Ovis aries: one gene and its partners. The protein of the gene in region 2 purifies or fractionates together with the protein of the main gene of each other region. This does not show direct contact. Links are inferred from orthologs where the notes say so. Each region holds a gene or a part of one and is shown on either strand. Other genes may lie near its edges.

Evidence for each region.
Region 1: the proteins of CHD8 (region 2) and KPNA6 purify together in Homo sapiens (affinity purification with mass spectrometry; 4 studies listed by BioGRID and IntAct, with this or other methods). This does not show direct contact. The link is inferred for Ovis aries from reciprocal best matches to the Homo sapiens genes CHD8 and KPNA6.
Region 3: the proteins of CHD8 (region 2) and KPNA5 purify together in Homo sapiens (affinity purification with mass spectrometry; 3 studies listed by BioGRID and IntAct, with this or other methods). This does not show direct contact. The link is inferred for Ovis aries from reciprocal best matches to the Homo sapiens genes CHD8 and KPNA5.

The regions. Positions count from the first base shown.
Region 1 is NC_056055.1:235,358,460-235,368,436, forward strand, and holds part of KPNA6 (importin subunit alpha-7), read right to left. Parts: intron 8,388-9,977; coding exon 8,288-8,387; intron 7,146-8,287; coding exon 7,051-7,145; intron 6,050-7,050; coding exon 5,918-6,049; intron 4,473-5,917; coding exon 4,384-4,472; intron 3,618-4,383; coding exon 3,518-3,617; intron 3,201-3,517; coding exon 3,037-3,200; intron 2,869-3,036; coding exon 2,790-2,868; intron 1,129-2,789; coding exon 1,003-1,128; intron 688-1,002; coding exon 560-687; intron 1-559. UniProt on the Homo sapiens protein: Functions in nuclear protein import as an adapter protein for nuclear receptor KPNB1. Binds specifically and directly to substrates containing either a simple or bipartite NLS motif.
Region 2 is NC_056060.1:24,095,093-24,105,069, reverse strand, and holds part of CHD8 (chromodomain-helicase-DNA-binding protein 8), read right to left. Parts: intron 9,303-9,977; coding exon 9,126-9,302; intron 8,167-9,125; coding exon 8,023-8,166; intron 7,880-8,022; coding exon 7,624-7,879; intron 7,061-7,623; coding exon 6,850-7,060; intron 6,603-6,849; coding exon 6,407-6,602; intron 5,942-6,406; coding exon 5,774-5,941; intron 5,581-5,773; coding exon 5,401-5,580; intron 5,231-5,400; coding exon 5,120-5,230; intron 4,782-5,119; coding exon 4,585-4,781; intron 4,365-4,584; coding exon 4,165-4,364; intron 4,085-4,164; coding exon 3,904-4,084; intron 3,816-3,903; coding exon 3,726-3,815; intron 3,281-3,725; coding exon 3,177-3,280; intron 1,974-3,176; coding exon 1,844-1,973; intron 1,400-1,843; exon of another isoform or gene 1,290-1,399; intron 934-1,289; coding exon 858-933; intron 399-857; coding exon 344-398; intron 178-343; coding exon 1-177. UniProt on the Homo sapiens protein: ATP-dependent chromatin-remodeling factor, it slides nucleosomes along DNA; nucleosome sliding requires ATP. Acts as a transcription repressor by remodeling chromatin structure and recruiting histone H1 to target genes.
Region 3 is NC_056061.1:21,102,745-21,112,721, reverse strand, and holds part of KPNA5 (importin subunit alpha-6), read left to right. Parts: intron 1-832; coding exon 833-911; intron 912-2,835; coding exon 2,836-2,961; intron 2,962-3,761; coding exon 3,762-3,889; intron 3,890-6,243; coding exon 6,244-6,422; intron 6,423-8,926; coding exon 8,927-9,114; 3' UTR 9,115-9,977. UniProt on the Homo sapiens protein: Functions in nuclear protein import as an adapter protein for nuclear receptor KPNB1. Binds specifically and directly to substrates containing either a simple or bipartite NLS motif.

The DNA of each region.
Region 1 (9,977 bases), on a different chromosome or scaffold from region 2:
AGTTTGAGTGAACTCCGGGAGTTGGTGATGGACAGGGAGGCCTGGCGTGCTGCAATTCATGAGGTCGCAAAGAGTCGGACACGACTGAGCGACTGAACTGAATATACTCCCCCTTCCTAAGCTACAAGCTGAAGGCAAGGTACTTTTCTAATTCCCACCACTCCAACTCAAGTTCATAATGGAAAGCAGAATCAGAGAACATCTTCACACAAAACAGCTTTCCTATTTACTTCTCTCAAGTATCATTGTCAAAAATGATTTCTCAAGGAAACTGCTCCGAATGAGCCATCGAATGGTTCTCTTTCATTTGTATGAGTAATTGTGAATTATATAGATTTAAATTCTCTTGTGGGTAGAAAGAGGCAGAGGAGAGATGAATGTCTGTCTTAAGTGTCCATTCTCAAGGAGGGAAAAGAGGCTACACTCTAGCAGCTTATCAGTTAAACCCTACTGAACAGCAGTAGACTTATCCCAGCAAAGGCAGTTTAGAGACTGTATGTAACATAAGCTGACAGGTAGAGTAAACATGTCACTCAAACAATGGGAAGGACTGTGGTACCTGATTTGTTCAGGGGTTCCTCCTGATGTGGCATTGGTGATGGCCCAGGCTGCTTCTTTCCTTGTACGGAACTCTGCTTTCTGAAGGATTTCGATCAATACAGGGAAGATGTTTGCATCTATGACAGCCTGAGAATAATTAGGGGTTCGGGGGTGGGATATGGGGGAAAAAAGTCATTTCAAGGAGAATAAGCAAATCCAGAACACAAATCAGCTAAGATTTAGACACATTCCCCTTCCTCAAAGTTCTCCTTTGTCGTTCCCATATACCTAAGGTGGTGCAGAAGAACCTGGCTTCTGCTCCACAGAGTCTTTGACCAATAGCAGACACTGATCCCAATTTCAAAAGAGAAATTTTTTTGTCTAGAAGGCAATATCCCACAAAGTCTCGTGATCCCAGGCCTTTCTACCACCGTTCCTCAATCTCCCAACTGCTTGTTTTACCTGTATCTGAGCCCTGTTGCCAGCAGTGATATTTGAAATGGTCCAACAAGCTTCCTTTCGGATTGACTCCTTGGAGCTGCTCAGGAGGTGGAGGAGGCAAGGGAGGGCTGAACAGTTAAGAATGACCTAGAACACCAAAAGACAAATTGAGATAAATTGGACTTAATCAAAATTTAAAACTTTTGTGTACCGAAAGACATCTTTCAACAGAGTGAATTACACAAGTCACAGAATGGGAGAAAGTATATTGAAATTATATATCTGATAAAGATGAATATCCAGATTACATTAAAAAAAAAAAAGCTGAACATAGTTTAAAATGGGCAAAGGACATAAACAGACATTTTTCCAAAGAAAACAGGCAGGGGGCCCCAAAGCACATGAAAGATGTCAGACATCATTAATCAGTAGGGAAATGCAAATCAAAACCTCAGTGAGATACAGCTTCACACTTCATAGGACAGTTATTCTGTTTTCCTGGCCGTGCTGGGTCTTCACTGCAGCATGCAGGCTTAGTTGCCCCACAGCATGTGGGATCTTAGTTCCCCAAATAGGGACTGAACCCGAGTCGCCTGCATTAGAAGGCGGGTTCTTAACCCCCAGATCCCAGGGGATTATATATATATATAATATATAAAATTTATTATAATACTTATAACATTTAAAATTTATTATAAAAATAAAATTATTTTTATTCTTAAAAAATCCAGGCAATACAATTGTTGGTAAAGATGTGGAGAAACTGGAACCTGGTACATTGCTGGTGGGAAGGTAAAATGGTATAGCCATTGTGCTAAACAGTATGGTGGTTCCCCAAAATCTTTAAATATAAAATTACTCCATGACCCAGTAATTCCACCTCTGGGTGTATATCCCAAAGAGCTGAAAACAAGGACTCAAACAGAGATTTGTATGCCAATATTCAATGCAACATTACTCACACTAGCCAAAAGGTGAAAGCAACCCAAATGTTGATCAACAGATGCATGAATAAACCAAATGTGGCACAGGTGTGCCAAGGAAGATCATTGAGCCACCGAAAGGAATGAAGGTATGACTTACTAAAACATGGGATGAGCTTCGAAAACATGCTAAGTGAACTAAGTTGAAACAAAAGAACAAATATATATGGTTTGGTTTACGTGAGGTTTCTAGAGGAGTCAAACTCGCAAGAAACAGAAAGTAATGTGGTAGTTACCAGGGGATGAGGGGAGGGGGAAACGGGAATTTATTATTTGAAGAGCACAGAGTTTCAGTTCTGAACGACGCAAAAGTTGTGGAGATGGATGATTGTGATGGTTAAATAACAATGTGAATGCGCTTAATGCCATTGAACTATACTTAAAAGAATAACCAGCTCTCCAGCCTGTGTATAGAAAAACCTTGCATACTGCACCCTCTATGGAGGTATTACTAACAGAGGACTAACATGAGGTTACCCATGGGATCCTAAAGGTTTAGTTACAAAGTAGGGGTGAGGCTCCAAAGATTTAAGTATTTCAAAGGTACCATAACAGAAAAGCTGGGACTTTACCATGTCCCAGGTAGTAAGTCAAGTTATTCCATTTAGTTTTTCTTCAGTAGCACCCAATGGATAATGATTTGCTTCCAATTTATAGAAAAAATAAAGGCAACCAAGTTGCCCACAAATCATACAGAAAGTGGCAGAGTTGGAATTTTTCCTTCAAGCCTGTGCTTTCTCTCCTAGATCACACTGCCCCCCACCAGGACTAAAGTCTACGGCAGGGAGGGATTTGTCCACAGACAGCTCTCTTCCTCCTCCTTACCTGGGTCTGGATGTCATCCCCAGTGACGATGTTACCCACAGCTCTCAGAGCAGGAGAAGCCACTTTGTTATCGTTGTGCCTATAGAGGAGGGCGATCTGGTCAGTAGAGGGCCAGCACCAAGCTTTCAGCTCTGCTGACCACCAAGGCCGGTAGCACTCATGGGTCCAGACCTTTGCACAGGGCAGCAGACTGCTAACTGCAGTTCTGAGCTTGGAATCTGTACCCTTTCTAACTGGGATCACTCACATGAGAAGCTCGACCAATCTCCGGCAGACTCCAGAGTCTATGACTGCCTGGATCTTCTCATTGGGGCCATCAGATAGATAAGAGAGGGCCCAGCAAGCATCTGCCAGCAAGTCTGAGTCGCTGCTGAAGAGTAGGCGAGACAGCACGGGCAAACAGGGGGAGACCTATTGGAAGCAGAGAGAGAGGGATTCATAGAGGGACAGGGTTACATCAGCTCTACCACTAACCCTAACATGTCCGAGCCCTCCTCTACTGAGTAAGTCTAAGACCCAGAGATTTCTACTACATTAAGCCATCAGGCCCACATTTTCATTTACCACCCTGGCACACGAGATCACCTACTTCACTGAAGATTGCCTCTTTCAGTTTCCCGTGGATCAAGACTCTGAGGGTTCCCCAAAGACTTGAAAACTCCCATGTCAAAATTCCTCCATATGAAGGAACCTGCTATTACTCAGGAACTGGTAAGAAGCTCTCTTACCTTTGCAAACTCTGGGGGTGGGTTCTTCCCTCGGCAGAGGTTTGACAGGGCCCAGACCGCATTCCGGGTCATTGTCAGTCGTGTGGACTTGGTAAGGAGTCTGAAGGAGACAGAGAAGCCAGATGCTGACCAATGATGCCCTTTGCATAGAGCTGTTGTCTGTGAGCCCCAGGAGCACATCCAACCAGACCCCTACGACTCTAGCCCCCTCACTGTCTTTTCCTACCCATAATTTAAGTGAGTTAGTTTGGTCCAGGGGGCTAACCTACATCTTCATAGGGGATTAGGACCAGATGTGGTTGTTAAGCCCACAGCTAATAAGAGCAGAGAGCTGGACCTTGAATAAGCATGCTAAATGAAGTTTTAGTGTGGGGGCTTTAGCTATGCAGTACGGATGGATTCTCTGTGACAGGCCCATAAAAGAGTTCTAATAGTAGCTTACGAGGTGTGGCTTCTGAAGAAAAACTCCTCCCTCTGCATCCATACGACCCTGCATGGGGTCTTAGATCTGTGGTTTACAACAGAGCTCTCCAATGTACCTATGCATAAACCCATAGAAAATCAATGCATTTTGCAGAGAAGGTTAGGTTTTTCCAGATGGGCTATTCCTCCTTCTCTCCTCTGGCTCAGCAATGAGCCCAGTATGACCAACAGGAGACTCTACAGTGCTGTGAAGCGAGAAGCATAAGACACACACCAGCGGCACAATCTTCTTACTCTCAGAAGATAGCCTTTTACTCTGTCAATCAGAATGCACTTGTAGCATTTTTGGATTTACTCATCATTTTAAGGTAAACTGTCCCCCAAAGATCTGCTACATGGCTGCCCTACAGATGCTTGCGGTGCAGATGCCAGTAGTTACTCACGTTAACAAAGGATTGAGGATGGAACAGTTCAAGACGTAATCTCGGCAAACGGAGCTGTCTCCAGCTATGTTTCCCAGTGCCCAGACTGCCTAAAAAAGGGAGGATGGAACTGTCACCCACAGAGCCTAGTGGCTTCTGTGAGTACTTTACACTCACAACTACAGAGTGACACACAGCAGTAACCAGGACGAACATCCCATCAAGGCCTGAAACACACCAAATAAGCTCAGTACCCTCCTTGTTGACATCCTCATTGAGTACTTGCTCTATGAGGACTTTTCCTCTGAGAATTCCTGGGTTTGGGGGGGAAAGCAGGCTGCCGCTGTACTGTAGCCAGAGAAACCAAACCAAAACCTCCTTATCCGCACCTCCTCATCTCCCATAAAAGGAGAAAATGATGGGAAACTTGTATTCTTCTTGTCTCATAGGACCAACCCTATATGTATTAATAGAGGAAAAATCCCCAGTACCACTCCACTTCTAGTCAACCAGTAAAACTCCAGCGCAAGAATTGGAAGTAGGGTTTTTATGATCCATAGATGTTGAAAAATGGGTACTGTGGTGTCTTTTTCCCAACACCACCTGACACCCAACATGTAGAGTTTTCTTCTACATCAATTCTCTGATACCATGTCAGTGAAAAGTGAAAGTCGCTCAGTTGTGTCCGACTCTTTGTGACCACATGGACTATACAGTCCATGGAATTCTCTTAGGCCAGAATATTGGAGTGGGTAGCCGTTCCCTTCTCCAGGGGAGTCTTCCCAACCCAGTAATTGAACTGGGGTCTCTTGCACCACTGGCAGATTCTTTACCAGCTGAGCTACCAGGAAACCCATGTCAGTTCAATAGGTAGGGGGCTCAGTCCCACAAGACTGGCCTCACTTAGATACTAGTTACAACTCCCAGGTGCCACCTATACTTTTTACCAACTGGCTATAAATTCAGGAGTTCCACATTCTGCAACGACTCACAGAACTCAGGAAAACTTGACTCATGTTTAGCAGTTTACTCTAATGGATACAACTGAGGAAGAGCTAGAGATGCAGAGGGCAAGGCATGGGGCAAAGCATAGGGGCTGCACAGAACTCCTGTGCCCTCTCCAGGCATGTCACCTTCCCAGCACAGTGAGCATTCACCAACCCAGACGCTCTCTGAATCTCACTGTTCAAGATTTTTATAACCCAATATTTACCCCCTGTAACATCCCTAGGGAGGTTGGGGAGCAGGGGTGGGAAGAGTGGGCAGGGGCGGGGCTGAAAGTTCCTATTCTCTAATCCCAAATTTGGTCTTTCTGATCACTAGCCCCCCTTCCGAAAGCTATCTAGGGCCCCACCCTGAGTCATCGCATTAGCACACACTCAGGTGTGTTGCAAAGGTGCTCTTTAGGGATAAGAGAAGTCGCTTGGATCACTAAGAAAATCCCAAGGTTCTTAGGAGCTCTTTGCTCTTAACCTCTTAACTGGGGATAAAGACAAAATACATTTTTTACTATACCGCTGACATCATTAAGAATTAAGTCAAATTTGGGTATTACCTGTTCCTGTACATCCTCAAAGTCCGAGTTAAGCAGCTCTATAAAAATGGGGACGGCCCCTGCTTCAATGACAATTTTGGTCTGCTGAGAGGTTCCAGAGGCGATGTTTGTTAGAGCCCAGGCAGCTTCAAACTGAAAGTGAGATTAAAGCCATGACTGAGAGGTCATTCCGGACAGAGCAGCCGTGCCTACCACCTGGCTCAGAGCAGTTACGTCTCCTGCCCCTGACTTGAAAAACAACAACAACAAAAAAAAAACACAACACCACACATGCCTTTCCCTTTTCTCCTTTAAAAGAAAGGAAGAATTACTGGCAGTGACATAACATAATAGGAAGACAGAACTAGGCTTCCATGGTTCCAGGTCTAGGCCTGCACTACCACAGCCCCCATGAGTTCCTGGGCAAGCCGCGTTTTTTGTTGGTTTGTTTTTCCTAGAGGCAGAGAGGAAGACAGGTTGAAAGAGTTAGGAGAAGGAGAAAGAATGAAAGAAGAGGAGTGAAACCTGGGGGCAACACCAAATCTTTACTATTCCCCCACCACCTCAGTGGGTTGTTGTGGCAGAGTCGCTAAGTCATGTCCAACTCTTTTGCGACCCAATAGACTGAAGCCTGCCAGGATCCTCTGTCCATGGGATTTCCCAGGCAATAATACTGGAGTGGGTTGCAGCAAGCCATGTTTTTATTTCCTGCACTTCACTTTATTCGTTTCTGAAACCAGGATATAAGTGAGACGGGTCTCTCAAGGATCCTTTCAGCCAAATTTCTAATAAGTTCTCGTAGAGTGGCTCATCACTCATTTGTGAGAAGAGAGGCCCAGAGAAGCAAAGTGGTTCACTCCAGAATTACAAATGGACTAGAGCGTTTTATATACGTATATGTATACATACATACATATGTATATATATTTATTCTATATCACAACCTCTGAATAATGAATCTGTCATATTCTGGTATCTTTCCTTTGAGACTGTTTTGGGGAAGAGTTTGTGGCTCTCTTACTTGAGACCAAGTCCTCTGAGGTAACAGCATCTCCTTAAATGTTTCCTCCTCACAGATGTGTCTGCAGAAGCATGCCTTAGCAATTTCTTGGCAAAAGAGCATTCATCTGGTACCTCTCCACCCTGGGCCTCACCTGTAATGTACAATTCTCATTCCTCTTCAGAAACTCCACAAACCGATCCACCACTCCTGGAGTGTTGATAACTTCATCTATTGGAGGACTGGGCTCTGGGAGAGGGACAAAGGAAAGAGAGAAGTCAGGAGAAGGGCTGGCTGATGCATTCACTGGGGTCAGTCCACCATCCTTCCTAAATACTCCTGACCATCCTTAGAAACACTCCCAAGCTTCCTTCTGGTGAGGTGGTTTTAACAATAGCAGGTCATTTTTGAACTGCATCAAATAGCTGAGAATCTAAAAAGTAAAGCCAATCCTAATCCAAGTATGCTCACCTTTGGCTTTCTAAATCTAAGCAAGTAAATAACCTTACCTACCTAAGCAAGCAAGAAAGTAAGGGAGAGATGACCAAAGAAGGTGCAATGCTGGTCTAAACACTTCCCTTCTAAGATCAGCATTCTTTTCTTGGGAGGAAGAAAAGTCCTCCCAAGGTCAAAGGACAAAAGTCCTTGGGAGAAAAGAAAATATTTTTCCCATCATACAGCAAATTTTTACTGAGCAAAAAACGCGTGCCAGACGTAGTTCTGGGTACCAAGAATATAACAGTGAACCAAACCAAAAGTCTCTGTCCTCATGGAGCTTATATCCTAGTGAGAAGAAATACTGTTATGTTTGAAGGTAATAACTGTAATAGGAAATAAAATACGTAGGGCCAGGTAAGGAGATTAAAAATGCTGCAGGGGGTGGGGGGAGCAGCAATTTTAGTTAGGGTGTCAGGGTAGGTTTTGCTGAGAAAGGTAGGATCTAACCACAGAAATGAAGCAGCTATCACACAGATTGTTGTTCTTTAGTTGCTGAGTAGTGTCTGACTCTTTTGCAACCCCATGGAATGTAGCCTGCCAGGCTCCTCTGTCCATGAGATTTTCCAGGCAAGAATAATACTAGAGTGGGTTGCTATTTCCTTCTCCAGGGCATCTTCCCAACCCAGCAATCGAACCCACTTCTCCTACATTGGCAGATGGACTCTTTACCACTGAGCCACCAGGGAAGCCCTGTCACACAGATATCTGCAACTAAAGGGTATCAAGCAGAGGGAATGGCCATGCAAAGGTAGGAATGTGCCTGGCTTGTCCAAGGATGCCACAGCCAGCAGGGCTAGAGCAGAATGAATGAAGGGCAGTAACTGATGAGGTCAGTGAGAGGAAACAAAAGGCTAAGTCATGCAGGCCTCTCTGGGGAAGTCTAGGCTTTGTACCTTTGGAGAGCAGTTTCCGGAATTTCTGTGTGGTTGCTAACTGCAGGTCAGGATCATCAGAAAAGAGCATCTCCACCATCTCTCTTGTGATCACACTCTCCTAGGACATAAAACAGGTTCATGATTTTGCAAACCAACACTAGAGCCAGATATAAGCCCATAATCCTGTTTGGCATCCTGCTTTCTAAAGACTTGAGGGCAGGGCTTCCCTGGTGGTCCAGTGGTTGAGAATCTGCCTGTCAGTGCAGGAGACATGGGTTCAGTCCCTGGTCTGGGAAGATCCCACATGCAGAGGAGTAATTAAGCCCATATGTACAACTACTGAGCTTGTGCTCCTAGAGCCCATACTCTGTAACAAGAGAAGCTACTGCAATGAGAGGCTCTTGTACCCCAACCAGAGAGTAGCTGTCACTAGAGAAAAGCCTGCATGTAGCAATGAAGACCCAGCATAGCCAAAAAGAAAAAAGACTTGAGGGCAAGAGGAAGGCACCACAGCAGCTCAGATGTTTAATCCATAGCTGCTTTAAGCTGTAATATTTAGAAGTGATTCTTAACCTCTGAGGCAACTGAGAGCTCCTCTTAAATGTTTCCTCTGGTGTCTTCACCACAGACAAATCCCGGTTGACTCCTTAAGCTGACTGGGTATTAGGTTGTTGCATAAGTGATTGCTGTTTTGCATTGCTGAACTCTGCCGCCTGATATTGGAATACACTCTTGAATAAATGTGGTCATGTTATACATAACTTCAATGTTGCATGCATCACTTTGTTTTTTTGCTAACGACTTATTAAGTTCAGTTCAGTCGCTCAGTCGTGTCCGACTCTTTGAGACCCCATGGACTGCAGCACGCCAGGCCTCCCTGTCCATTACCAGCTCCCATTTTATTATTTGCTGTTCATTTTATATTTATTTTAGACTTAGAGAAATGATGTTAGACAAAAAGCAAATCTGAGCGATTTCAAAATGGGTTGTAAAGTGGTGGAGACAACTTATAACATCAACAATGCATCTGGCCCGGGAACTGCTAACGAATGTACAGTGCAGTGGGTTCAAGAAGTTTTGCACCCTGGTACTCGCCAGGAGCGTCCACATCACCATCCCCTTCTCTCCTTTGTTGCTGCTAATCACAATACTCTAATGACCTACTCTACTATTCAAAAACTATTTTTATGTAATTTATGTACGCTTTCTTGTTTATAAATGCCTGATTTTTTTTTTTTAAAGAAGTTTTGCAAAGGAGACGAGAACCTTGAAGATAAGGAGCACAGTGGCCAGCCATCAGAATTTGACACCACCAATCGAGGGGATCATCGAAACTTATCCTCTTAAATCTAACTACATGAGAAGTTGGTGAAGAACTCAGTGTTGACCATTTTATGGTTCGCTGGCATTCGAAGCAAATTGGAAAGGTGAAAACACACAATAGGTGGGTGCCTCAAATAAAAAAAATCGTTGTTTGGGAGTGTCATCTTCTCTTATTATATTCGACAGCAATGAATCATTTCCTGATTGGATTGTGGTATGCGACAAAAAGTGGATTTTCAACTGATGATAACCAGTTCAGTGGCTGGACCGTGGATAAGCTTCCAAAGCATTTCCCAAAGCCACTAACACCAAAAAAGAATCGTGGTCACTGTTTGGTGGTCTGTTGCCTGTCTGATCAACTATAGCTTTCTGAATCCTGGTGAAA
Region 2 (9,977 bases):
TCAGCTTGAAGGCTGCCTCACAACGTCGCCTTCTCCGATCCCCACGTTCTGCAGCCTCTATCTTCATCTGTTCTCTCTTATAGCTGCGCTGATAGGCTGTTACTAGGCGCCGAAGCCTAGCTGTCAAAGCAGAGCCTGGAGGCCAGAATAGATGGCCTGGCTGTTGGGTCACCTGGGCTGTGGGAAGCAAAGTAGAATAAACAACAAGTACAGGAAAGATAGTAGAGATAATACAGGTATTTCAACCCACCCAAAGGCAAAGCTCTCAGAAATCCCAGTAAAGGAGCGAATTCGGTCAATTTCCCAATTCCACCAACCCATACAAGTTGACTTAGAAATTTACCTTCATCTCCATCTATCACTGAGATCTCCTCATCCATCATCATCAAGGGATCACCCTAGAGAAGGAGATCCACCCCGCAGGATGGAGAGGGGAGGAAAAGGGGGTAAAATTGGCACTCTCAAATCACTTGTGTGTGTGTCCTTTTATGGCATCAAGGTATCAAGATATTTTTTAATGAAAGGAACCCTCACAGAAAACTGAAAGCAATCAACTAAAAGAATAAGGAAGTATAACCTGCAAAGTTAGTTCTTATCAATGTCTTGAAGACAGTGAGACTCAGGAATTAAATAGTCCAATAATATAGTTCATTGTCCAGCTTAGGTCCCACCTCCTCCAAAAAATCATCCCTGACCTCCCCTAGCTGGTGTTACAATCCTTTCCATTAATACTTTATATTCTTGAATGGTACTTTTCATTTTTTATTATAAATTAATCAGTATACTTCATGATTCAGGGAATTGGAAAATACTGTTTAGTAATACAGAAAAGCTAGACTCAAATGAAAATTCCTCACCTCATCATCTTGGTCCTTTGGGGGTCCCTGGAGTGGTTTGTATTCTGGATCTTCACAATCTTTATCAAAGTCAACCCTAAAATTATCCAGAGGTATGAGAAAATGACAAAATTGAGTTCTAAACTGCTTGATTTTAAAATGAAACAGCACATTTCCTTTTTCTTAATAGCTTTTTATTATTTAACCCATTTTCCCCCTCTGTCCCAACTAGTATCTACTTTTATTATTTCATTGGAATGAATGATCTATGCCTGCTTATTTTTACTACTTTACTCTACTGAGCAAAAGGATATTACATGATTTGCAATAAATAAATCTAATTTCCTCTGTGGGTCCTACACTAGGCAAACTGAGGCTGTGATCACTGAAGAAAAATCTTTCAATAATAAGGGACTAGGAAGGTATTCATGAACTAAGTCAAATATTTCACATGCCCCTCAGATCTCCACATGAGAAGTTTTGTTAAACTCACTGGCACCCAAACCAGGGCAATACTGCCCTAGCTGATGGCTCAGTATTAGCATGGCAACTCATCACTGAGGCATGGACTCAGGCAAAGTAAACACCTTTATGTGTCAGCGGACACTGGAAAATGATAGACCAAGGCTAAAGTTTCCTGAGGGTCTATCACACTGGTGGTAGGAGACTGTTGCATGGCTACCATCTTTCAAGAGAAGCAGTTACCCTCTCCGCTACTGTAGCTAAAAGCACTGCACAGAAAACTGAAGAGAAGATCAAATAAGCCATTTGGGAGTAATTTTCCCCCTTAGTTGCGCTGTATGACAATGTATGGTTTCAGGCCAATTTATGGAGACCTTTCTGCTGGTCGCACTGTTTGTTAAGAATTTATCATTTGTGAGTATAACCACCATTAGGAATCCCAACGGATTCAGTCAAGGCTAGAGTTATGTCATCTCTTAGCACAAGCAACAAATATCCTTTGTAATGCAGATACAGCTTTAACAGAACTAAACATCAATGCTTACCCTTCCACTATGTCAGAAAAATTATCTAACACGCGATGCTCTGCTGCGATGGCTTTGTCATCTGGTCGGCCAGCCTTTTCCAGGAAGCATAAGGCTGGGTCTGCCCTCATAGTATTATATTTTTCATAGCCTTGAAGAGAAAGAGCCATAATTAAAGAAAATCAGACTCATTTTGCTTTTACGCTTACTTCATATGCTGCTGGAATAAAAATGTGGGCTACTCTGCTCATAGTGTAAAGTACTCTGAAAATGTTAATTTGGACAGCTGTTGGGTTATATTAAGATATTTAATATTTCCACTCCAATTCAGAGTCATAAAGAGTTTTATCACTAGTTACCAAAAATAGGAATTTAATCAGTGTGTACAGAGAATGGTGACAGATTTACATAGCCATTTAACGGGTAATTTTTTTTTTAAAACGGGTAATTTTTTATCATCATTCTTACTACATAGGTGAGGAAATTTTGAAAGTCCAATAATTTAGAGCTAGGTAATACACTTTCAAATAAAGGATAAGAAATTTGTACCTGCAAACAGGTACTCTGAATGGTGGATGAATGATGAACGTATTTCAGGATATTTGGACTCTTCTAAAGCCTCTGCACCTCACAAGTAAATCTAACACTACAAATGCTCACATTTTTTCTCATCCAATTAAACTTGTCAAAAATGTGAATTAAGTGCCATTACTTTTATTTTATAGAAGTAAACAGAAAAGTATATTAAAAAAGAAATAATCTTCCGATTCATTAAGTCACTAGGCTAGAAGTTAGCACTTACTGCTTTTTATGTGTGGAATTTGTGATTAGGGAAGATTGAAAAGGGAGTCTTCTCCCTTTTTCTACTCTACTTTAAGCCAGTTTTTTCTACTGACCTAAAAAAAAATTTTTTTTTTTAATTTTTCTTTCACTCAAGCATGGCTATTCACACCTACGTAAGAGTGAATGCTGAATATTTAGACAAACAAGATGCTATAGAAACAGAACATTTTCAGCAAGGCACAGGAAAGCTATGCAAAGTAAACATGTTTATTATTAACAAGAGTAGACATGCATCATCTCCCCCGATTGCAAACCTTAACTTAGATACCACTGCATACAGACTGGTAGTAACTGATTAATCACAGAACAGATGGAAGACACCCTACCTTGCGATTTAACTATCCATCTGGTCTTTCCTGACCATCTATTCATAGGAACAGCTCTGCTCTGTATTTCTGAGAACCAGTTTACCATTCAAACGTAATTATTGGTCTTAAGTACTTTGCAAAACATTTCATCTGTGGACAAAACTCTATAACAGGAAAAGAGCAGACTAAGAGCAGACACCTACCATGCTTAAAGACTCCAATGAGCAGGGACTTATCAGCCTCACTGTCCCACCATGTTGTTGGAACCTCCAGCTGATCCACTACTGGGAACCATATGTCAATCTCACTGAAGGTGTAAGAGGCAGAGTCAGCACAGTGATGCAGGAAATAAAAGCAAACAATCTTTGGAAAGATTATTACAAGTATCTTCCTTTCTCTATTAATTTAAATAGTCCTACATCTGCCTATTTCCTTCCACTGGTATCAAGAACAGCTGTCCCCTGGTATCTGTAAGGGATTCGTTCCACCCCAGACACCAAAATCCACTGATGTTCAAGCCCCTAAAATAAGATGGAATCATACAGTAAATTCAGCTGGCCCTTATGGATTTGATCAACTGTGGATCAAAAGGATGCAAAACCCAAGGATACAAAAGGCCAACTGCATAGCACTGAAGACCTGATATACAGATTTTAATTACCACGTATCCCAAGATAGTTAACAGTGAAATAAGTAAACCAATCTATTCTGGAATAAGGCACAGCATAAGGAAAAATAAAGCATAACTTTACCTGGCAATTGCACCCCCTAACACCTTCTCTGCCTGGTCTCCAATAACCTCCTGTCTCAGATAATATAGCATTCGTACCCGCAACAGCACCCTAGAAGGGAGAGAGGAAGAACTGGCTCAGTAATAGTGCAGAAAGCGTGAGGTGGAAAATCCTTTAGTCTGCTAAATTCCATCCTTACTTGTTACACTGATGTTTTAAGTGCTTCTTATAACTCTCATCTTGAAACAGAGTATCAGGGTTATATTTCCGGATCCAATCTGCCTTATGGATATCAAAAGTGCTTTGTGACTTTACTTTTTTCCCCTTGCGTCCACGAGGCACAGGGATAGACAGACCTGGGGAAGGGGATACATCGAAGACTTGGATTGAGAAAAACCCTTGGACCTGAAAAGGATTAGGTAACCTATAGAAAGACAAAAAGCAAAGACTTGATAATCACCTGAATGATTCTGCAATTCTTTTGTCTTGCCATTTTCAGCAGGGCTAATCAAGTCCCAAATGAAGCCTTTGATATTTTCATCCCCACGATAGTGTAAGAGACAGTACACGAGGATGGCCCGGCAAATTGTTTCCACATCTCTTTCAGTCATCCGTCGCTTGAAACGTCCATGAGACAGAATATCTCGCCATCGTCCCCAACTACAAAAAAATGCAATCATATGGATATTTTCCTAGGGACCCCAGTCCCTCAAATTCACACGTCCCAAATGGTGGGAGACAAAATGATCTTGGGAAAACATGGTAACAGAATAAATTTTTTCCCATTATCCCCTCTTTGATCATACCTTCCAATTTAAAAAGCGAACGAGATGTCTATCAGGAAGGAATGTACTACCTCTGAGGAAAGATGGGGTCTTACCCATATACCAGGAGATGCTTTTCCACCCGAAAACAGTCAGTGCGCCCATAGGTATGATGACGGTCATGTCGGCGAGAGCGTGGTCGCTCATCGTCTTCACTTTCCAAATCAGAGAATTCCACTAGGTCATCATCTTTCAGAGTGCTGAAGTGGCGGGTCTGTTTTCGTACTCTAGGTGTGTCAATCACCAAGTTATTCTATGCAGAGAACAGAAGGAGAAGTAACTCTTTTCACAATATAATTGTGGGAAAGGAATTAAAGATAACCAGACTGAAATAGCCTTGCATGTAATATCTGTAGATACTCAAAGATAGATTCTTTTTTGGACATGTAAGATAATCTACAGGGATTCAGGAAGCAAACTTAAGTGATAGTTATCTAAGTACTTTTTAGTGGCCCTCTATATAGAAAGCTTTTACAATGGCCTGTGATATACCATCATAAGCCAAGGTCAGCACTGAAGAATCAGAGCAAGGACTCCAGAAAGTAATGTGTTTCCTGCCATAGTTTTTCTTTGAAGGAAAAGGAAGCTCACCTTGCTATTGAGTAGATCCATGTCCAGGTCAGCCTTTTTGGCCCACTTTTGCCAAAAGTTTGGGTCATCCAGAGAAATATCAGTCCTATTTTCAGAAGCCACAAAGCTTGCCTAATGAGGAACAAAGAAATACTAAAGTTGACTACACCACTTTTTTGAGTAAAGAGAAATCAGTATATTTTAAAACTATATTAAAAAAAAACTATATTTTTTAAAAAATATTAAATTCTAGAGATTCCTGTCTCTCTGTGCTAAAAGCCTCTAGCACCAACAGAACATACCTTGGCAAAGGTAGAACCCTTTCCTTCAGATTCAATGGTGATGGTAGTGGTTCGTCTTAACAAGATCTGGTCAATGTCCTCTTCACAAAACTTGGAGCCCTCATCATCTTCCTCCATTATGGCTGCATACGCTCCTTTCCTTAAGAGATCTTCAATCTCCTTCTTAGAGAACTGTTGGATCTACAAAATCCAACAGAAAGGTGAAAAAAAATCAGAGAATATTATCTAACCACATCATGATATTTTATTATATTTTAAGGAATAATCATTGAGAATCCAAACAAGGGGTCAGGTTCCTATACAAAAAATAGCTTTTGCCTCCCTTCATCACCATGACCTACTACAAATATAGCTAAAAATTAAGAAGACTCACTCCAGTAATGTTGCCATCCCGACCACTCATGGACTGAAGCACAGCTTTATCCAATCCCAACTTGAGGCTAGCCTTATCAAACATCTCCCTCTCGTAAGAATTACGAGTGATGAGACGGTACACCTTCACAGCTTTGCTCTGCCCAATTCGATGACAACGTGCTTGGGCCTGGTTTTAACAAATGGAAGGAAGGGCAAAAATAACAACATTAGAAGGAGTGGGGAGGACAAGCATTCAAAATACTGATTTACATTTATAAAGCAGCCATGAGATCAACTCAACATCAGAAAGTCAATTTCAAGATGAAATTACTGCCTCATCATCCAGACCAGGTGTCAGCAAATCTTGGTCACCTATTTCTAAAGTTTCTGCTGAAACACAGCTCTACCCATTCATTTATATTTGCTTATAGATGTTTTTTGTAGTACAAGAGTAAAGGAGAACCGTTACAACAGAGACTGATTTGCACAGCCTAAAATATTAACTATCTGCCCTATACAGAAAAAGTTTGATGACCTAACTAACTAAACAATTCCAGATTCTTGAAAAGCTAAGACTTTCTAAGAGAACCTGATCCTGTTGCAAAACCTCTCAGGTTAGGTGATTAGTCCCTAAGACAATGATTTCCTCTACCTGCAGGTCATTTTGCGGATTCCAGTCCGAATCAAAGATGATGCAAGTATCAGCAGCTGTGAGATTAATGCCAAGTCCACCAGCCCGGGTGCATAGCAGGAAGACAAATCGGTCCGAGTCAGGCTTGCTAAAACGGTCAATAGCAGCTTGCCGAAGGTTGCCTCTAACTCGCCCATCAATACGCTCATATAAGTACCTGCAAGGGAATCACAGGAAAAAAGTTTAATCAGCTGAGCAGAAAAAGAGAAGAAAAAAGCAGGCTGGGATCATACCAGTACCCTTGTATTGCTAGTTCACCAAAAGTTTTATCAGAAAGTTGAGAGTGAGAGTCTTGAATACTTCTCTTAGCCCAGTCCTGGTCAACTTTATTTAAACCCAGGCCTCCCACTCTTTGCAGCTCTATAAGTACAAAGTAAACAGGCGAGGAATGACTTTTTTCTCACCTTCTCTGGATTAGATAATCCTCTAGGATATCTAGGCAGCGTACCATCTGGGAGAAGATCAGAACCTTATGGCCACCAGCTTTAAGTTTTGGAAGTAGCTTGTCAATAAGAACCAATTTGCCAGCTGAACGAACCATGGCCTGCAAGTGGAAGTCATGAGGTATGATATGGCAAGCTTCTCGAAACTCTGTTAGGATTTTTTCTTCTGCACCTGCCAAAAGAAAATCAGACCTAATGTTGAGATCCAGAGAAACCACTAAGGCTGCAGTTTATTTAACTGAGATAAGGAAGCAAAGAAAAGAAAATAACCTGACTTGATATCAATATGACTTGAAAACAGAATTTCAGCAACTCCCAAACCCTAAAATATCCTCAATTTTGTTAATACAAAATATTCCATATAAGTCAGGCTTAAGAATTATTCCACGTAAGTCAGAGTAAAATATGTAAATATGTGGAAAAGGACTAGAATATTACATGAAAACCACTATTACCACCATACTGCCATCCAAAACAGAAACAGCAACACAGAATATCAGTGGAGACAGAACAGAATTCTTAACAGCAAATCCTTTTTAACTTTGGAGATTATGCAGAGTCAAAGGGTCAGAAAGAACTAGAGGAAGATGTTCCACGTGAGAATGGTTTTAAAAAGAGAAAATTCCCTCTATTTCCAAACTAGGATGGATCAGCCAATCCATGTATTGTTTCTGAGGAACACCATTTAGTAATCAAGGTAACACAGAAATGTAGGTGTTTCAGGAGTTCTCTCACCATTGATGAGATATGGGTGGTTGCAGCATTTCCGCAACTCCATCATTGTGTTGAGTAGATTCGGCATGTTAGTATGACCTGCCCCTTTGGAAAGAAAGGAGAAGTTTTTCTCCAAAATAGCCCGGTAGTATTTTTTCTGAATGTTGGTTAGCTCTACTTCAATAATGGTCTCCTGTTTGGGTGCCAGGTTCTTTTCAACATCTTCTTTGAGTCTTCTCAGCATCATTGGTTTGAGAATGGCCTGTAGCTTTTGAACCTGTAACCAACAGAGGAAAAAATAATAACATGAGGACAAACCTTCTCACATTAGATGGAAACATGGATATCAATGACAGTAGATATCTTCCCTAGTACAAATTTTTTTATTCTGCATTAGTATCACATCAGACAACTTCCTACCTGTTCTTCTGTTTTGAGATCCCCAAAGTCTTTGAGGAATTCTGATTCTGATGGAAACTGTGACGGTTCCAAGAAATGAAGCAAGCTAAACAGTTCCTCCACAGTATTTTGCAATGGTGTTCCAGTGAGCAGCACTTTGTGCTCCTAGAAATGGAGAACACAGAAGAAAGATAAAACTCAGAAAGACTTCTGAAGTTTTCCATCAAGTATATAACTTTAGTTTCCATTTCTTTAACTGTAAAATTATGGAAATGGACCAGATTACTCTTACTTGCTGCCTCTTTTGATAAACACAAAATACTCAAGAATATTCTTGATATTATTTAACATATTAATTTAATATCATAAGGCAATAAAGAAATATTTAGAACATGTTTTTTCCAATTAAATATGCCTCTCCACACTCAAGTCCCCACAGATATCCATTAATATGTCTCCCTCTAAGAAATGTACCTGTGTAGGATTAAATATGGCCATTGATTTTTGGTAGTTCCTCCTATCAAGATTCACCACTTGAACATGGTCGTGCTTTATAACTTGCTCTGACAATGAGAATGTAGCAGAAGTGGGTACCATGTGCGTTTCAGAGCCTCAAAGGCCTTGCCTTCCACCTTTACCCTCTTGGAACACTGCTCTGACTCTACCAGGTACAGAAGCAAAGTCTGGCCCACAGAGGGGTGACAGACCACATGGAAGATGGCCTAGCCAACAACCAGTACCAACTGTCAGCTGCAGCTGTATCACTGACTCCTGGCAAGGCCACTGAAAGAATGAGATCACTCAGCCCAGCCCAAGTTGCTAAGCTAGAGAGTCATGAAAAACACAGTTGTTTTAAGTCACTAGGTTTTTGGATATTTTGCTATGCAGAAATAGGTAACTAATTTAACATCTCACCTCTTCACCCAGTTGAGAACCACTAACCCACAATCATCTTCTAACTCTAAAATTTATATGAATTTTATGACTTTCAGGCTACCATTCCCACAGGCCACACCCCCACTCAATACCAAGATTCTGATTCTTCTCTATAAAATTAATTCATATGGAATTAAGATTACTTAATTCTAGGTGTTTCTGGCCACAAGTCAGTGGGAGGAACTCACCAGGTCCATGTGCTTGAGACTATCAAGCAGTTTGCAATTACGGTTCTTTAGTCGATGGGCCTCATCAATGATGACACACCGCCATTCAATCTCACGAAGCTCAGGACAGTCTGACAAAATCATCTCAAAAGTGGTGATCAAGGCATCAAACTTGTATGCACCTGGGATGAGGCGCCCCTAAGCATGAAGGCAACAAAGTCAGAAAAGGCCTAAAATGTACTTAAATAAGAAGCTCTTCTGGACTACATATTCTGCATATTATATTTAGGCAGGCCTCATAGAAAACACAAATTGCACCACCACCCACCTCTGCCACTGTTCATATTCCTGATAAACAGTGTCAAATCACTGAATCACTGCCTCCTCAACACACTCAGCTTCTTGGGAAAATCACAGACCTTACTGAAAGAAGCTGGACATTCTTGACTTTGCTGCATGCCTACCTCATGTATTTCAGCCCTATATCTTCTGTTGGTAAACACTAAAATCCACAAATGTTGAGCACTGCTGAAACACACAAGATAAAACTAAAAGTGAAACAGCTAATGTAGTATGTGGTAATATTGGTTACTACCTAAAAATGGACAAAAGAATCCAATTATCTTAACAAAATTAAGAGCCACAAAATGACTTGAATAAACTTGGGTTTCGTAGAAATAAAAATGGGAAACTAATGGTAGGAAAAAAACTCAAAATTCAATGTTAAGAAACCCTTTCCAAACTTATACAGAAAAAAGAAATAATCTTGATGAAAACTTCAGTAGACTTAAAAAAAAAAAGGAAGAAATGTCTTATGTTCACCATTTTATGAATCAAGGAATTAAAAGTAGCTAAATGAATTTCATTCTGGAA
Region 3 (9,977 bases), on a different chromosome or scaffold from region 2:
ATCCATGGGATTTTCCAGGCAAGAGTACTGGAGTGGGTTGCCATTGCCTTCTCTAGCTCAAAGAGGAGAGAAATATCAAAAGGACACAGAAGGCCACTTGAAGGGACTTCTACAGTTTAAACCTGGAATGATTTGAACATTGAAATAAATTGTAGTAACATTACAACTTTTTTGAATAAAATAGCAATCCATAAGTCCACACTTAAATAAGTAGATAGATCAATAGATTTAAAAAAAAGATATATAGTGTAAGTGATAGTATTAGAAACTCATCATTGGCAACAATAATGATTATTAATTCAGACAATAAATATCAGAATATGCTAAAGTTAGTGGTGAAAGTGGATTAAGGAATGGTATTTTACATAGTCTAAAAGTATTATTTTCTCACAAAACACTATAAGGGGAAAAACAGTAGTGAAGAAATCTGATGGACACCATCTTATTTAAGTGACAGAGGCCAGTGCCACTATAGTGGACAAAATAGATACCATATGCCATATAATACTATGTAATGAAAAGACTATAGCATTTCTGATATCTCAGCCAAAAGCATATAACTTCATCTTAATCCCTGAACAAAACCAAATAATTAGCTTTTGATTGTCACAGGGAAAACTAAGGAATTCTTTTGACTTCAAAGAGACTGGAAAGACATGGGTACAACACATGATTCTGGGTTAGATTTCTTTGTTAGAGGAATATTACTGGGAAAATTAGTGAAACTTGAAAAGGATCTCTGGTAGAGTATGGAGGAGTTTTCTGTACTATTTTTGCAAATTTTTTGTAAATTTTAATATAGAATATAAGTTCATATTTTTATTACTTTTAGGCACAATGATTATAAAGTTGTATCACCTGCATTAAGAGCAGTTGGTAATATTGTGACTGGTGATGATATTCAAACACAGGTGAGTTCAGACTTTAATATGATAAATTGGTAACATAAGGAACTTTTAAGAAGTTTATCATGTTAATCAAGATGTTAGTATTACCATAATTATGCAGGCATCTGTTACATGTCAGTAAGTATATTCTCAGTAATAAGTAATCCATCTCAAATACCCCTATATGAAGGCACTATCGTAGACCTATATCAATGTAAAGAAGTATAGGATAGGACTTTGGCTCTTGAGGGGTTTACATTTCAGTTGAGGAAAAAATATATAATGAAATAAAGCAAATTACCTAAGGTAGTATGTTTCCTGAGAACTGATTTGTCCTTAAATACTATAAATTTTTTTAAATTGGTGTGCTGAGAAATCTTTGTCGATTCCATAAAGGAGTTGGAATTACTGCTGGAGAAGAATTTCAGTAGACTGGAAGAAATTTATGTGGTCATAAGGTAGAGGCACACATGTGTGAGTTACGATTAAGAGGTGTTAAACTTGGCTGGAAAAGAAACTGCTTAGGAGATGTTTACAGGTTAAAAGTTGGGTTGGAAATGCAATGTAATAGATTGAAAACTAGATTATGAGAGTTGAAGGAGGGATAGCAAGGAAACATTTTCCCACATTGATAACTAACTGTGTGTCTGTGTCTGCATGTCTGTGTGTCTGTGTGTGTCTACGTGTGTGTTTGCCTGTCTTGGATGATGGTGAGACTTTAAAAAAAGGTGTGATGTCAAACTGATTTCAGATCTGGAATATTCTTTCTTAAAGATACAAACTTAAACTCAGAAACATTAAATTATCCATTGCTATCATGAACTATATATTCTAATCTACATTCTTTAAGTTTTAGTCTTTTGAAGTCATATTTAGATATTTAGTTATTAAACAGTAGATCTTTAGTAATTGATAATTATTAATTTAAAAGAGCTCTTTAAAATAAAATGCACTTCCACACATACACTGTTTTCAGCAGAATTTTGGTGCACTGCTTCATATGTTCTTCACCAAGTAAACTTAATGTAAATCATTGTGGTTATTGTGAAAATGGAGCATAATTAATCTTGCTGTGAAATAAAGAATGTAAAGAGACAAAGCAAACCATGCTGTGCTTAGTCCCTCAGTCATGTCCGACTCTTTGTGTCCCCATGGACTGAAGCCCACCAGGCTCCTCTGTCCATGGGATTCTCCAGGCAAGAATACTGGAGTGGGTTGCCATGCCCTCCTCCAGGGGATCTTCCCAAACCAGGGATCGAACCCAGGTCTCCTGCATTACAGGCAGATTCTTTGCTGTCTGAGCCACTAGGGAAGCTCCTAAGAATACTTGAGTGGGTGGTCTTTCCCTTCTCCAAAGGATCTTCTGACCCAGGAATTGAACCAGGGTCTCCTGCATTGCAGGCAGATTCTTTACCAGCTGAGCTACCAGGGAAGCAAACTGTACTTACTTACAAAAGGAAAATAGGACAGTATAAATTTTAATGAAACAAATAGACTTAATATACACATTTCTTAACAATTTCTTAATAGACAACTTTCTTAACAGTTACGGAGTTGGATACATTCAAACTGTTTGAGGTATAAATATAGATACATTTTCCCCATTAATTTATTTGGCAAAACTTAAGTGGTTGGATCCTGACCAATCACTAAATCTCTGTTCAAATAGTTGTGTCAGTTGAGCTCTGAATGTATTTGTAAACTTGAAGGGCACACCTCTGTTTTCTTCATATTTGCAAATGAGTGGATGGAGAACAGGGCACTTCACTACACCAAGTTTTGGCAAATTGGGAGAGTAGAAGACAGCAAGTGCCTAACTAAGTTTTACTTTGAGAGAAATTTCTTTTTTCTTAATACATTTTCCAGAATTATTATTGTGTTTCTAAATAGTATATTTTTGTGTAGTTCTTTTCCAATAAAACTTTTCATTTTGTTATTGTTGTTTTAGGTAATTTTGAATTGCTCTGCTTTACCCTGTCTTTTACACTTATTGAGTAGCTCAAAGGAGTCAATCAGAAAAGAAGCCTGCTGGACTGTTTCAAATATCACTGCTGGAAACAGAGCTCAGATTCAGGTAAACAGCTTTCATATCTGAAAAAAAAAGGAGACCTCAGGAGTTATTTTGGACAAAAGTCGGCATTTTATCAGTGATATTTTTAGTGAGTTACTAAAAACATTTTCTCAAAAGATCCTTGAAAAGTTTTTTATAGAAACTGAATTTTCCTCCTCTAAAATAATAACATTTACCTGTTGTAGGTATTCTAGTATAGTGCCTGACATGTAACAGTCATTAAGAAGAGCTTGAATTTCATTAGGTTTCAATATCAGCAATGATTGGACTTCCCTGGTGGGTCAGATGGTAAAGAATCTGCCTGCAAGAGACCCAGGTTTGATCCCTGGGTTGGAAAGATTGGCTACCCACTCCAGTATTCTTGGAATGGCTACCCACTCCAGTGTTCTTGCCTGGAAAATCCCATGGATAGAGGAGCCTGATGGGCTACTGTCCATGGGGTTACAAAGAATCAGACATGACTGAGCAACTAACACACTAGGCAATAATCTTCCTCTCAGTGCTTTTAAATAGTGATTTATTAGTGTCCCATCAAGCTGCTTGAGTCATTAATACTAATTTCATCTTGATCAATGACCAGCCTGTGCTTTATCATCTTTAAAATTTATATTCTGCTAATATATTTTCCAGTCTTTAAAGGAAAGTATGTGAAAGTTTGTTGAAAATTTAGAAATAAATTATTTCTAAAGGTGTTTCCAAAAAGTCTGACGTTTTAAAGCCAACAAGTTTCAAGATTCTTCTACTTCATAATATTTATAAGACACTATTTGCATTGATTATGCTATATCATTTTTTCTCCTCAGGCTGTTATAGATGCAAATATTTTTCCTGTTTTAATTGAGATTCTTCAGAAAGCAGAGTTTCGCACTAGGAAAGAAGCAGCTTGGGCTATAACTAATGCAACATCAGGAGGCACTCCAGAACAGATCAGGTGAAAAAAGTTTTTTAATTGTTTTTTAAATATAAATAGGACAAAATTTGGAATAATACATACTTTTTATTTGTTGATAAGACTAAAACATTATTTCTAAGTAAGTTTTATAAGCATTTCTAATGTGAAATGATAGCATTTATTATATCTTTTATTCATTCACAGTGGTTTATTTTTGTCAAAGTATAATTGATATTCTCCTAGGCAAACTATGAAAAATCAGAGATTAAAAATCTGAAAAAGAAGTATATGTTAATTTGAAAACTATACTATTATGGGCAATAAGTATTTTTTTGACCATTAAAATCTCATGCATGTCTCTAATCCATGATTGTCTTCAATTTTTTAAATGATTGAATAATGGATAGTACGTTATGGTAGTATATTGACAATTAAATGTAATTTGCACACTTACAGTCTTACAGTGCTTTAGCATGGTGCCTAAACATTAAGCTCTCTACTAAGATTAGCTATTATCATTATTATTTGTAATCATCATCAATTTTTATTATCGGTATTCTCTTTTCTGCTGTCACCTTTTTTTCTTCCTGCTTTGTGTGGTTTGCGGGATCTTAGTTCCTGGACAGGGATCAAATCCATATCCCCTGCAGTGGAAACACAGAATTCTAACCACTTGACTGCCAGAGAATTCCCTGCTTTCACTCTTTTTTCCTCCATAGGAAAGTTCTACTTTGCCATTCTAGAAAAGCCTGACTTTCTACAGAATCTTCTTGTTGTGAGGATCACTTCTTGAAACTCGATACTTCTTTGGTTTCTTGAAGTGCTTATTTAGGAAATATTTTCTAATACATATTTATTTAATTCTTAATTTATACAAAAGAAGTTAGGCTGCTATGCCAATCTATAAATCACTAGGAGGATTTTGAAATCTACTTTTTGGGAGATCATTGTCTATTATTGCCTTCATTTCTACTGTTATTTTCTTTTCTCAGATATGTTGATACCATCTGTCTCTGCCTTTTATTTTTCATTCCTCCTCTGATTTAATCAGTATTATTTTCATTTCATTTGTGTCATGAATTACAAATAGTAATAAAATAAGATCTTTCATTTGTTCTAACTTGTATATTTTTTTGATGCTGATGTTATTTTTGTCTGTTTTGGGGCCCAAAGTTTGTAAACAGTTTATAAACAGTTATATTTTATTTTTCAATTTATTTTCATCTTTGTGTCTGTTCCTTAAAATGTATTAGTGTGACTCAGGTGTCCAAATTGAGATAATTATTTTTCTAGCCATTTTCATCATTTCTTTAACTCTACATATAGGGGAAGAAGACTTGATCTCAGATAAGGTTCAGCATTCATATCACTAATTTTTATTGACTGCTAGTTGTTATGCTAAGTCATTTCAGTTGTTGAGCATCAGTAGTACATCGGATGCTTTCATGTATTTTATTTCCATTAACTTTATAACTATGAGATAGTTATTCATTCAGCAGTTATATTTGATCAGTCACAGGTTAGGATATGGCAAGTGAGTATTCCAGTGAAGATATGCACATTTAAAAGAGGTGGGGATGAAAACTAACTTCCACTGAATATTTGCAGTATTCTCACAGCAACATTCTAGTTTAGAACTATTATTATTTCCACTTTTGATGTGGAAACTGAGGCACAGAGAGGTTACACAAAAGCACACAACTAATGAGGAGTGGGATTAGGACTTGAAACCATGCAGTTTGGCTTCAGAGCATGTTTAACATGGACTTTAGAGCATGCTTAATATGGACTTTTTGCCAGGTGAAGAAATTAGCTATTTTAAAGATCTAATAACTAGAAAAGGAAAAAGCATTAGGAAATGAGTAGAACAATTTTTGTGATCATTGTTTATTAAGATTATTCACAACATGGCCTGTTTTGCTTCTAGAAGCCTTCTGTGCTTCTGAAACACAGCCTATATTTTAGAACATTAACTACGATTGTTTCTGTGGAAAATTTCTTTCAGTTTGATTTAGGTGTCTCTTTTCCGTCTTCATTTCTACCTACCCCGATATGGCTTCATGTGTTATACGGGCTAACTAACCTTTATAACAAAAACAAACCTTGAGCCAACTATACTTCGCACTCATATGCTATGCAAAAACAACTATAAGTACCAATTTGCTTATATGTATTTTTGTAATATTTGTAAACCATTAATTGCTAATTATGTTAAATTATGAAAATAAGAGTAAGATTTTTCAGGTTCCTATATAAGTAAAAATTTAAGTATTTTTAAGAATACTTAAGTGTTTATGTAACATTTCACTGAAGAATGTTTTCATATCATTGCTATAAATATTTAAGTATTTTAAAATGTTTCTCCTCCACATTTTTTTTTAATTATTCTGAAGGTATTTGGTAGCCTTAGGCTGCATTAAACCACTTTGTGATCTGTTGACTGTTATGGACTCTAAAATAGTTCAAGTGGCTTTAAATGGACTTGAAAATATTTTACGGCTTGGGGAACAAGAATCTAAGCAGAATGGAATAGGCATTAATCCATACTGTGCACTCATTGAAGAAGCATATGGTGAGCATTCAGTAAAATTTATATTGCTATCAATGTTTTAATTGAGATCCAAGTGACACATTGGTTTCATGTATATAACATAATGATTCAGTATTTGTGTATACTGCAAAATGAATGTAATAATTATAGTTCATGTCACCATAGTTAAAATTTTTTTTCTTGTAGTGAGAACTCTTCAGATTTACTCTTAGCAGCTTTCATATATATATTACAGTATTATTAAATGTGGTCCCCATCACTGTATATTACTTCCCCAAAGCTTATACAGACTAGAAGTTTGTGCCTTTTGACAGCCCCTTTCACCCATTTAATTCAACCCCTCACCTCCTGTCTCTGACAACAGCCAGTCTGTATCCTGTATCAATGCACTTACTCTGAGCTCTTTGTTTTTGTTTGTTTAGATTCTGCATATAAGTGAGATTATAGGGTATTTGTCTGTATCTGTGACTTGTTTCAGTGAGTGTAATGCCCCCAAGGTCCATCCAGGTTGTTGCAGATGGCAAGGTTTTCTTCTTTTTTAAAAAAACTGAATACTGTTCCTCTGTATGTGTATGTGTTGTGTGTATATGTACCACAGTTTCTTTATCAATTCATTCTTTGATAGATAAGATAGCTCCCATGTCTGGGCTGTTGTAAATAATGCTGAAGTGAACACAGGGGTTCATAATATCTTTGAGTTCATTTTTTTTTTCATTTTCTTGAGATAAATGTCAAGAAGTGAAATTGCTGGATTATATTTTAAGAAATAAATGTGAAAAGTTAAAACTAGAACTGCCATATAATCTATATTGTTATCCATAGGGATTGCACCAGTTTACATTCCCACCAATAGTACACAAGGGTTTCCTTTTCCCACATCCTTACCAACACTTTCTGTCTCATCTTTTTGACAGTGGTCATTCTAACAGGTGTAAGGTGAAATCTTATTGTGGTTTTCATTTCCATTTCCCTAATGATTAATAATGTTGAGCATCTTGTCCTATACCTATTGGGCATCTGTGTATCTCCCTTGAAAAAATGTTCATTCAGATTGTCTGCCCATTTTTTAATCAGTTTGGTTTTGGGGTATTGAGTTATATGAGTTCTTTATATATTTTAGATATTAACCCCCTACTAGGTATATGATTCACAAATACTTTCTCTCATTTCCTAGGTTATCTTTTCATATTGCTGATGTTTTCCTTTGCTGTGCAGAAGTTTTTTAGTTTAATGTGGTCCCACTTGTTTATTTTTACTTTCTTGTCCTTTGTGTTTGGCATCAGATCCAGAATTCAAACAACTGTAACCAAGACCATGGAATTTATTTCCAGATGAGGCATGAATCTAAGTCAGTTCTTTTTCCTTTCAGTATATTTCCATTAAATATTCACTTTCTGTCTTAAATCCTATTATATCCATTCAACCACACCTGGGAGACCACTTTGCCTTTATTTCAAATTACATAATGTCACTGGTTAAGACATCATATAAATGAAAGATATTAATCGCTGATTTAAGAATATTTCCTGCTACAATCATTATTTTGGCCCCAAGTTATACTAGAGTTTAAGCTATTCTATGAGTATATATAGATATGATTACTTGATATATTTATATCCTGCAACAAATTGAAGAGGTTTATCTATAATTAAGTGAAAAATACTTTTAGCATCATCCAGACTTACGTGTGGATTATTTTCTTGTGAGCAGTAAAATAAAACACTGTAGATTCTCCTTACACTATGAAAATGGGTTAAGTTTCACTTATAAACTGTATTGGATTTACAAATAGTATTCATTTATTCCTTATTGATACACTTTGGCTTATTCTGTGAGAGAACTTTTTGTTAGTTTGCTCATTAATTTTAGGGCTTTGTTGTTGTTGTTTTGTTGCTTTCCCTTTTTGTGCTTTTTATTTAACATGATTACCCTGGGAACAACTTGTGGAGTTTACATGATCTAAAACTGTCATTTTAAAATTCAGAAACTGAAGTACAGAGGAATCAAACTTATTTGGGAAAAATCATAGAACTAGAAGGGTGGATTCTATGATCTTCCTACTGCCCAGCCTATGCTTACTCTTCATACCTTATTGCCCAATATTTTTATTTGTGAACTATAAAGCATAAGTATTGACTATCATTATACGCAAAAATCAGATAAAAGCTACAGAATCACTGAAATGTGTAATCTAAAAAATGCTACAAACTAGTGACTATAACAAAAGAGAAGTAGACTCATATAAACTAGTGGTTACCAGTGCAACCAGTGGGGGTGGAGTGCAAATTATTGGGTAAGATAGGCTCAAGGATGTATTGTACAACAGAGGGAATATAGCCAATGTTTTGTAATAACTGTAAATGGAATACAACCTTTAAAAATTATGTTTTAATTTTTTAAATTAGATTAAAAATAACAGTTCCATTGACAGTGGACTGGTGATCTATTGATTCATTATTTTGATTTAAATATATGTTGAAATCTGAGTAATAACTTTGATTTTATATATATGCTTTATATAATAGGTCTAGATAAAATTGAATTTCTGCAAAGCCATGAAAATCAGGAAATTTACCAAAAGGCTTTTGATCTGATTGAACATTACTTTGGTGTAGAAGATGATGACCCCAGTATTGTACCTCAAGTGGATGAAAATCAGCAACAGTTTGTATTTCAGCAGCAGGAAGCACCAATGGAAGGGTTCCAACTTTAACTTGGTAGGAGGTAAATTAATGGCTAAGAAGGGTAGCTTTACATATCTCCCCTTTCTTGCATTGTCAGTAGGAATATTTGATGTGTTTTTGTGTAGAACAAAAAAACAAAGAAGATGCACTTTTAGAAAGCAAAACAAAAGTTTCCATTCATATGCAACCTTTTATTATAGTTTTGTTGTTATGTTGGCCTGCCTGTATATATATCTTTCATTGTTTTATCTTTTTTTGTGTCTATCTGAGAACAGTTAAATACATTATTTAATAATTTAAGCCTGAGAAGGAGAATTTTGGTAAAGTATGACAATAATGGTTCTGAATTTTTCTAGCGCTCTTGGAAACTGCACATTAACAGTACAGCTGTTGATAATTGCATTTTGGCAGTGTTGGACATTCCCGTTCTCTACTAAATCTACCTCTCAAAGCAAAAACAAAACAAAAAAGCTTCAGAAGCGTGAAATAGAGAAAAGGCTAAATTAGAATGTAAAGATAGGTGTTACCAGAAATTATAAATCACTGTGCTCTAGGTTATACTTTGCAAAAAAAAAAAAAGGTTGGACAAAACCTGTAAAAGTTACTTATAAAATATAGGAAAAATATTGTACTGATAATTAAAATGTAGCAATTGTGAAGAGAGAAGCTGTTCTTCATATTGAACACATTAAAATAATTACACAACATTTAAATATTTGTGTTTTTAACATATAAATGCTATATTTTATATTTTGACCAAATATGCTAACATTTTTGAAATAGTGCTTTTTTATTTTTTCACTGCTCATTTTAGAGAGCATCATGATAGAGATGCCATTATGAATCTAAAGTAGTGCTGCATAGCAAAAATAATACTGTATTCCTTTCTCTG